Arabidopsis thaliana: one gene and its partner. The protein of the gene in region 2 purifies or fractionates together with the protein of the main gene of each other region. This does not show direct contact. Each region holds a gene or a part of one and is shown on either strand. Other genes may lie near its edges. The genes, in order: BTF3 and LSP1.

What was found.
Region 1: the proteins of LSP1 (region 2) and BTF3 purify together in Arabidopsis thaliana (affinity purification with western blotting, with the first as the bait; one study listed by BioGRID). This does not show direct contact.

Annotation. Positions count from the first base shown.
Region 1 is NC_003070.9:6,151,802-6,156,043, reverse strand, and holds BTF3 (basic transcription factor 3), read left to right. Parts: upstream 1-2,061; 5' UTR 2,062-2,178; intron 2,179-2,618; coding exon 2,619-2,686; intron 2,687-2,775; coding exon 2,776-2,924; intron 2,925-3,013; coding exon 3,014-3,070; intron 3,071-3,163; coding exon 3,164-3,202; intron 3,203-3,287; coding exon 3,288-3,472; 3' UTR 3,473-3,660; downstream 3,661-4,242. Other genes in the region: GER2 (NAD(P)-binding Rossmann-fold superfamily protein), read left to right, coding at 448-469, 602-1,566; EGY3 (ethylene-dependent gravitropism-deficient and yellow-green-like 3), read left to right, coding at 3,859-4,242.
Region 2 is NC_003076.8:13,823,603-13,828,236, forward strand, and holds LSP1 (Eukaryotic initiation factor 4E protein), read right to left. Parts: upstream 2,802-4,634; 5' UTR 2,730-2,801; coding exon 2,539-2,729; intron 2,379-2,538; coding exon 2,204-2,378; intron 2,106-2,203; coding exon 1,974-2,105; coding exon of another isoform or gene 1,968-1,973; exon of another isoform or gene 1,532-1,967; coding exon 1,466-1,531; intron 1,377-1,465; coding exon 1,344-1,376; 3' UTR 1,239-1,343; exon of another isoform or gene 1,019-1,238; intron 992-1,018; 3' UTR 822-991; downstream 1-821. UniProt on the Arabidopsis thaliana protein: Recognizes and binds the 7-methylguanosine-containing mRNA cap during an early step in the initiation of protein synthesis and facilitates ribosome binding by inducing the unwinding of the mRNAs secondary structures.

The DNA of each region.
Region 1 (4,242 bases), on a different chromosome or scaffold from region 2:
GTCTTCTAAAGGTTTGTCACAGTCTTCACCAAACCACTAGGCTTATATTTTATTCGAATCCGTACTCTTCTTATGGATGGTACGGAGTACGGACACCTGGCTGATGGAGCTAATTTGGTAACTCACAGCTGCGAACCGGAATTTGGTCCGGTTTAATTGCAATAGGCCAATAACGTAACGATGGAAAAGTAAGCGAAATGGGCGGAGAGTGAGGTGACTATTTTATTTAGGCCCATGGGCCAGGATCCATAAACTGAATAACAAAATATCCGACACCGATTCAGATCGCCGGCGGATATTCAGATCTCCTCCACATTACATTCTCCAAGGAATTTAACCTTTACCTACAAATCTAAGCTTCTGTCGTTGACTTCGAAAACTGATATCTATAAGTCAAAATCCCCATTCTCAATCGCTCATCGTCTTGTAGAACTAATTGACTAAACAATGGCGGACAACACAGGATCCGGTACGTCCATCTCTCTATTTTATGTCTGAATATAATGTTTCATGTCTATATACGGAGTTTTGTGGAATTGAATTTAGATTTTCGTGGAAATTTTGGAACCCTAGGTCTTTGATCCCTCGTAATTCTGTGCAGAGATGAAATCAGGTTCGTTTATGTTAGAGAAATCCGCCAAGATCTTTGTCGCTGGACATAGGGGATTGGTTGGATCTGCCATTGTCCGCAAGCTCCAGGATCAGGGTTTCACCAATTTGGTCCTTCGAACCCATTCAGAGCTTGATCTCACTAGCCAATCAGATGTTGAATCTTTCTTTGCTACAGAGAAACCAGTTTATGTCATCCTAGCTGCTGCTAAAGTCGGTGGGATTCATGCTAACAACACATACCCAGCTGATTTCATTGGGGTCAATCTCCAAATCCAGACCAATGTGATCCACTCTGCTTATACACACGGTGTGAAGAAACTCCTCTTCCTTGGTTCATCTTGCATTTACCCCAAATTTGCTCCTCAGCCGATTCCCGAATCTGCGCTTCTTACCGGTCCGCTCGAACCGACAAACGAATGGTATGCGATCGCCAAGATCGCGGGTATTAAGATGTGTCAAGCTTACCGGCTTCAGCATCAGTGGGATGCTATCTCCGGTATGCCCACGAATCTGTATGGTCAGAATGATAATTTCCACCCGGAGAATTCCCATGTGCTGCCTGCTCTCATGAGGAGGTTTCATGAAGCCAAAGCCAATAATGCTGACGAAGTTGTGGTTTGGGGAAGTGGAAGCCCGTTGAGGGAGTTTTTACATGTCGATGATTTGGCTGATGCTTGTGTTTTCTTGATGGATCAGTACAGCGGATTTGAGCATGTGAATGTAGGAAGTGGTGTTGAAGTGACGATCAAAGAATTGGCTGAGTTGGTGAAAGAAGTTGTTGGGTTTAAAGGAAAGCTTGTTTGGGATACCACAAAACCAGACGGGACACCAAGGAAACTGATGGATAGCTCGAAGCTTGCGTCTTTGGGATGGACACCGAAGATTTCGCTTAAAGATGGCCTCTCCCAAACTTATGAATGGTATTTGGAAAATGTTGTGCAGAAGAAGCAGTAAAAAAAACAAGGTCCAAAACACAAAGCAATATTCATTCTCTTTACACGTGAATGTTTATGCGTTTGATTTTTGGTTCTATACAGATCTCTCTATCTCTTTTATGTAATTTTTGTATTCATGGATTTCATACAGTTCAAGTTAAGCAAACTTACTTTGTAATAAATGTACCATTGTTGTTGAGATTATCAATAATCGAATAGCTTTCTTCTCTAAATTTTAGTCAACTAAACAAGTCTGTTCATTGATAAACTCATTTAGATAAATTTGTGGATTTTGAAATTCTGGTAACCAAAAGATTATGGTTTGCTACGCGCTAATACTGGTGATTGATTACGGCACAAAAGAGCCCAGTAAATAATTATTGGCCCAGTTTAGTTTTGGGCCTTATGGGCCAATATTATCATCGAGCATCCAACGGTAGTGATGGAGATTTCTTTATGGAATATCTGATATCCACCGTTAGATTAAGAGACGAGGTTGGCTCCGAATAGCATATAGTTAAAGGGCAAAACCCTGCGCCGCCCGCGTCTCTCCTCTCTCTGTTTCTTTTCTTTTTGTTTCATTTTCTTATCTCCTCACACTCTTCGAACAAGGAAGAACCCTAATCTCAAGGTAAATTCATTATCACTGTAATTTTCCTTTCTATTAGTGTTTTATCTCTCCGGTTCTAGGGTTTCTCTAATCCCCGATTTTGCAAAATGTCAGATATCTTTCTTTCTTGATTCATTTCGCTTCTTTCTGTAGATAGGATTAGTTTTTGTCGGTGTTTGGGAATTTACTGGGTTTTCAACTTCTCTGTGTGTTTGATTGGGGGATTTGGTATACCTAATCGATTGAAAATGATTAAATTTAGGTTAAAACTACTAGTCACATCACCGTGTCTTCATACGCATCTGAGTTTAAATCTGTTCGCGCTTACTTTCTTCTCACTAGTTTCTTGTATAATAAGAAGTTTTTGTGAATGTATTATTAGCAGTTAATGTGTTCATTGATTCTTTTGGAAGTGATTTGGGGATTGATGGATTTTGCTTCTTATTATGGTTTATACACAGATGAATAGGGAGAAGTTGATGAAGATGGCTAATACCGTCCGCACTGGCGGAAAGGGTACTGTCAGAAGGTATAGAGTTTTATTCAACCAATTTCATTGTTCAATACTTAGCATTTACTATGATTTGTGTTATGAAACCATTCGATTTTTACTTGCAGAAAGAAGAAGGCTGTGCACAAGACCAATACAACTGATGACAAGAGGCTTCAAAGCACTCTTAAGAGAATTGGAGTTAACTCCATTCCCGCTATTGAAGAAGTTAACATCTTTAAGGATGATGTTGTTATTCAGTTCATCAACCCTAAGGGTAAGTCATTTTTAACCATTTTTTATCTATACATCAGAACCTTTTTTTCATGTTACTGATCATTGTTCCTCCTTTGAATGTTACTACAGTTCAAGCTTCAATTGCTGCAAACACATGGGTTGTTAGCGGTTCTCCTCAGACCAAAAGTATTGCATCTCATAATATCTCTTAATCTCTACTTTCTTGTTTCTTCTTCATTTCATCTTCTCTGATTAATGTAAACGTGTTGCTTCCTGCAGAATTGCAAGATATCCTTCCTCAGATCATCAGCCAACTTGGTGTGTACCATGTAACTGTACAGCTCTTAAATGTTCTTCATCGATCCTAAGGTCTCTAACTTTATGTTACTTTGATCTCTTTCAGGACCAGACAACATGGACAACCTGAAGAAGCTAGCAGAACAGTTCCAGAAACAGGCTTCTGGTGAAGGTAATGCCGCCTCAGCAACCATACAAGAAGAGGATGATGACGATGTCCCAGAGCTTGTTGGAGAGACATTCGAAACTGCTGCTGAAGAGAAAGCACCAGCTGCTGCTGCTTCTTCTTAGAGAGAAAAGAGCGAGACCACATCCAAAAAAAAACCGCACTTTGATTTTTACATATCTTTATAATATGTTTGTTCGCTCGATCCTTTTTGTAGTTTCCGACCAGAATCTTGTTTTCCATCTAATGACTTAAGGTTTTTATCCAATTATTTGATGTCTTATTGATTCTTTGACAGCAAATCAGGTCCTCGTCTTCTTCTTCCTCTTCACTATGTGGATTAGAAGATTTTGATGTGACACATTGTCTTGTTGCATAAAAACCATTCCACCTGTACTGTATGAGTTTCTTCTCAAACTTTCCAGACATTTCATCACTTTCTCTACAAATTCTCTCTCAGAGACATGTCTATTCGTCGTCAAATCTCAATCTTTCTGAGTTTTCGTAAACCATGGCTTCTCTCTTTGTTTCTACTCCATCATCTTCCTTAACTCTTAAATCCTGTCACAGTTTGCATCTTCGTCGCTTTGACAGAGCAGAATTTTCGAACTTTGGGAAAGCTTCTGTGAATCAGACAACGAGAAGCAGACATTCTTTGAGATGTTCAGCGGAAGATGATCGCGTTCGTGAACCTGTGAACGAAGCTCCTTCTCCGGTGGCGTTAGCGGAGGAGCAAAAAGAAGACCACGATAACAATAATGCGCCGCCTTCTCCAGAGAGCAGTGAAGAAGAGGAGGAAAAGAAGTCGAAGCAGCAAGAGATGGATTGGAAAACAGACGAGGAGTTCAAGAAGTTTATGGGGAATCCATCTATCGAAGCTGCGATAAAGCTTGAG
Region 2 (4,634 bases):
ACCTAATATCCTTTTAATATTTGCCTTCTTTTGAGGATGGACCTTGCTTCCGAACATAACTGAAGACTTGGAGAAGTTGATTAAAATTACCAGATTAAACAACGACTACATATCTACCAATGCAATAATAGAACCGTACGACTCCAACATAAGACAAAACACTAATATCCAGTTTGGAGAAAAAAATGATTAATTAAACCATATGAATCTGAAATTTGTTTTTCCAAAACTTGTTTAAGAACTTTTCATTGATGTAAATTGCAATCTCATAGTTTTGTTAACAACAAAATGAACTGTAAACCCAATTTCAGACTCGTGTTTGTTCAATCCTAAACATGTTGGTTTCTTTCCTGATTTGGCTATATCTTTTTATAATTAATAACAATGAGACTATGATAGTTTATTAATTAAAAAAATATACAATATATTAATCAGTTCGGGTAGCCGATTTGGAATTGAAGAAATGTATTTAGTATCGAGTATTAATTTATAAACATATACTAAAAATCTTAATCAAATTTTTTTCCTTAATCCAAAATCTCTAAGCTTTAAAAGTTCAGTAGCCAATTGACACATTGTTTGTATTTATAATTTCAATATGAGTCCATCCTAAACCTAAAATAGATTTAAGCAACTTGTAAGTGAATATTTAAATAATCAAAACGAATTGTTATAAGGTTTTTTGAACCATTTTAGAGGACCCAAAAACTGTGAATCGGAGATGGAAGATCCACAATTTGTAATCGACCATATCTCCTTGTTCAAGCAACTTTAAGATAAACTCAAAATGGTATAGACTCTTCCTGAAGAAGAAATCATAATCTCACGGCTATATAAAAAGAGGATAAAACTAATAAAAGACTAAACTACTGCTTAACTGCAACAGTATTAATTAAAAAGGTTCAAAATCACAGTACAAAAACAATTAATACAAAGGAAAATCGTGGAATCCTGCTCTAAATCAATTTTTTACCAGATTCTTGAAATTTACCTACAAAGAAATAAGATCTTGTAAGATTGTAAATTCATATAGTGATAATTACAAATGCGATAGACATGTACTAACACTATGTGATCCAACAAAATACAAAAGAGAAGCATTAGGGTGTTGCTAATAAGAGTATATTATCTCTGTATTTGTCTAACAAGTGGTGGTTTCGAAAGAGATTTATATAACTCAACTTAATTTATAACAAAAAATCATTTTAATGAAACAGAAAACTTTGTAGAGTTTACACCTCAAAGTGAATGTCCCTAAATGTCTCAGCTATTTGAGTAAACCGACCAAACAGTATCACAAAAAAAGCCATATTGCATCTTCCTCTGGCTTCACACTCGTTTCTTCAGACAGTGAACCGGCTTCTTCTGGAATCATCCTGCGTATAGACAAAGATATATTAAGCCACATGAGATCTAAAACATGTACAAAAAGATGATAGCTTCTTCTTTAGAGAAGTGTAATTACATGGTTATTGAAAGTTATCTTGTCGGTGACATCAAGTATCTCCTTCCACTTCTTCCCAATACCCATCTGAATTACAATAACAAACACCAAGTAATAAATTCATCAGATAGATTCATAAACCAATCTTAACATATTGCCAAGTTTTAAAACAGATGTCCATTGACAAAGATAGTTATGTTTATAATGCCAATGAACTATTATATTTACTATTATGTTTATAAGTCGCAACATATAACCTTAACATTAAAAACAACAATTTTACTATTGCAGAAGTATCTCAATCATCAGAAGCTGGTAAAACTCTCAAGGACAGGCAACAAAGCAAGTTAAGCATCAAAACCCACTAGCTATATAGTTCTCTGTGTAGCATTAAGAATTCTCGTAACGAGTGTTAGTATTTTCTAAAGTTTACCAAACTAAATTTGGATATCCCACCAACAATCATAATCATGAATAGCCAACACCAGCATCAATATAAACATAGTGAGAAGACAAACAAACATCATACCAGAACAGCTTCATTAGACTTCGTCCTAGTCCACAAGGAGAGCTTGTCTTGCTTCGACTGTGGACGGACACTAGCAACCACACCACAAATCTCATCTGCTTCATCAAATTGCTCTCCAATCAAAGCCATCAACTACATATCATAAGAAATAGAACCAGTCACCAAAACCACATATCATCTAACAAAACACAGAAGAGTAAAAGGTTAGGGTTAGGGTTAGAATGTAATACAGTTTCAAGCCAGCCTTTGTCTAAAGCTTCCTTCCTATTAGCAGTAACAACCCAAGTCCACTTTCCTCCATTAGCACACTCTGGATCTTCCCACTTTGGCTCAACACCAGCTTTGAACAAGTGAATTTCAGCATTCGCTGTCAATTTGCTAGTCTGAAATATAGTCTCGTGCAATCTAACAATAACCAAAAAATTAACATCCTTAGATTTTCGGATCCATACACATAGATCGAGATTCACAATAACCATAGCTTCTATACAAATCCCAGATTTAGAAGTTACAAAGCAAGGCATTGACAAATATTGAAATCAAAGGAGAAGAGAGAAAGACGAACCCCCAAAAATCTTCGACGGTGTCGAAAGTATAGGCTTTACGAAGAGAAGCTCCCCAGGCGGCGCCTTTCTTTGATTGGTTATCGAACCAGAAACTCCACTTTCTTTCGAGCTTGTGTGGTTGTTTCTCCGCCTCTGTCGCCGGTAATTCCGCCGCCGCCGGGAGAGGCTCGTTCACATCATCGGTCGCCATATTCTTCGCAGTTGAGTTTTCTTCTGAGACGGCTTTTGGTTACGAGAGAGGGACAGAGAGATTGTTTTTGAGATGTATTTTGGAATGGTTTAAGAAGTGAAAAGGGCTATTTCTGGACTCTATTGGGTCAATTTTGGGCCGGTCCATCAGAGCATTTAACTCTTCTTTTCTTCTTTTTTCTTTTTCTATTGTCTTTTGGTATTTAAAAAACAAGTAAAAATAAAAATCTCCAAAATTAATTGCAAGTGGAATCCCAATAGACAAGGGTTTAAAGTATTTTTTTTTACAACAAGGTGTTGTTAAAAAAAAAATAAAAAAAAATACACCAAGGTATGAGATCTAATTTCCAAATAGCGGAATTTCTTTCATATTGTCAATGCAAAATCTTAATTAGTAGTATCAAATTAGAAAATATTGTTTACATTAGAGGTTCTAGAGTAATAAAAGATATTTTATTATATAAAGCATGATTTTTAAATTTAGTAATTCATATGACTGTTACATGTGTTATTTTTGTAGATCTTAGATTTTGGTACATGTAATTTTATTATAAATTTTAAAATTTTTAATATAAAATAAGATAAATTAAAGAAACAAAATAGTTTTAAAAATGTAAATAAGATTTTTATATTATAGTTCCAAATATAAATTAAAAAAATAAAGTTATTATAATTCCTAATCTTTTTCCCCCAAAAACAAGAAAACTTACAAATCTCTGCTTGATAAACTCATATACTCTCACTCGCCGCCTAAACTTCGGCGACGTTTGTTTGATCGCCGTCGTTCTCTCTTAAGACGAGAAGAAGTGGCAAAAACTGTACATTCTGTATCAGTTACCGCATAAAATCCGGCTACTAATTATATAGAGGTGAGTATTTGAAATCTTTTTCCTTCTAAGATTATAATTAATTGTAAAATTCCTTTATGTATTATATTTAATATAATAAGATCGTTTCCTTAAATCCTTTTTAAAATTTTTAGGAAGACGGTAATCAATTTTCTTTTAGAATTAGTAATTTCAAATTAGAATTAGTAATTGATTTATAATTTCTTTCAGTAAGATACATATAATTATCTTCTTTACATTTTTATTTCTTTAAAATAATATGTAATCTTATATTTTCTATCTTTGTTTGATAAGATACATATAATTTTCTAATATTTATCTTCTTTCAATTTTTTAAAATTGTTTTATATAAGATATATTAATATTTTACTTTGGTTTTTATATTTATATTTTTACTCATTTAATAAAATTGATAATAAGATTACATGTGTCAAAATCTAAAATCGAAAACCATACTTTATATAATAAGATATAATAATAGACAATTCTCAAAAATACCACTAAGATAAGTTTTTTGTTCCAAAAGTAACACCATCAGTTTTTTTCGTAACAGTACCAGTAAAAGATACTTTTTTTGAAAATCCCACAAAACTAAAATTCACCTATAATTTAAACTTTGGGTCTGCATTTAATATTTTGTGTTTAAATTTTAGGGTTTAGGATTTAGTTTTGAAGGTTTAAAATCTTTAGAAATCATTTTTAGACTTTGTGGTATTTTTGTACTAAATCGTTTGTAGAGGCATTTTGGAAAGAAAAAAAAACTATTTATGGTTTTTTGGAACAAAAACTTAGCTTAATGCTATTTTAGTGTATTTCTCTATAATAATAAAACTATGTTACTTTTAGTGATAAACCTTCTATTTTTTTTTTTGAGACTCAATTCAAATCAGTTTGTTTAGCATGGTTGACAACAAAAAAGGGTGGAGTTAAAGCAATTTTTTATTTGCTAGTGCTTGTGTCAAGACCACCATCATTTTAACAAAAAAAAGAAGTAAAAACTTAATAGCTTTAATTTGCTCATAAGTAAAAGATAAGACATCTACATTCTTCTAATTTGA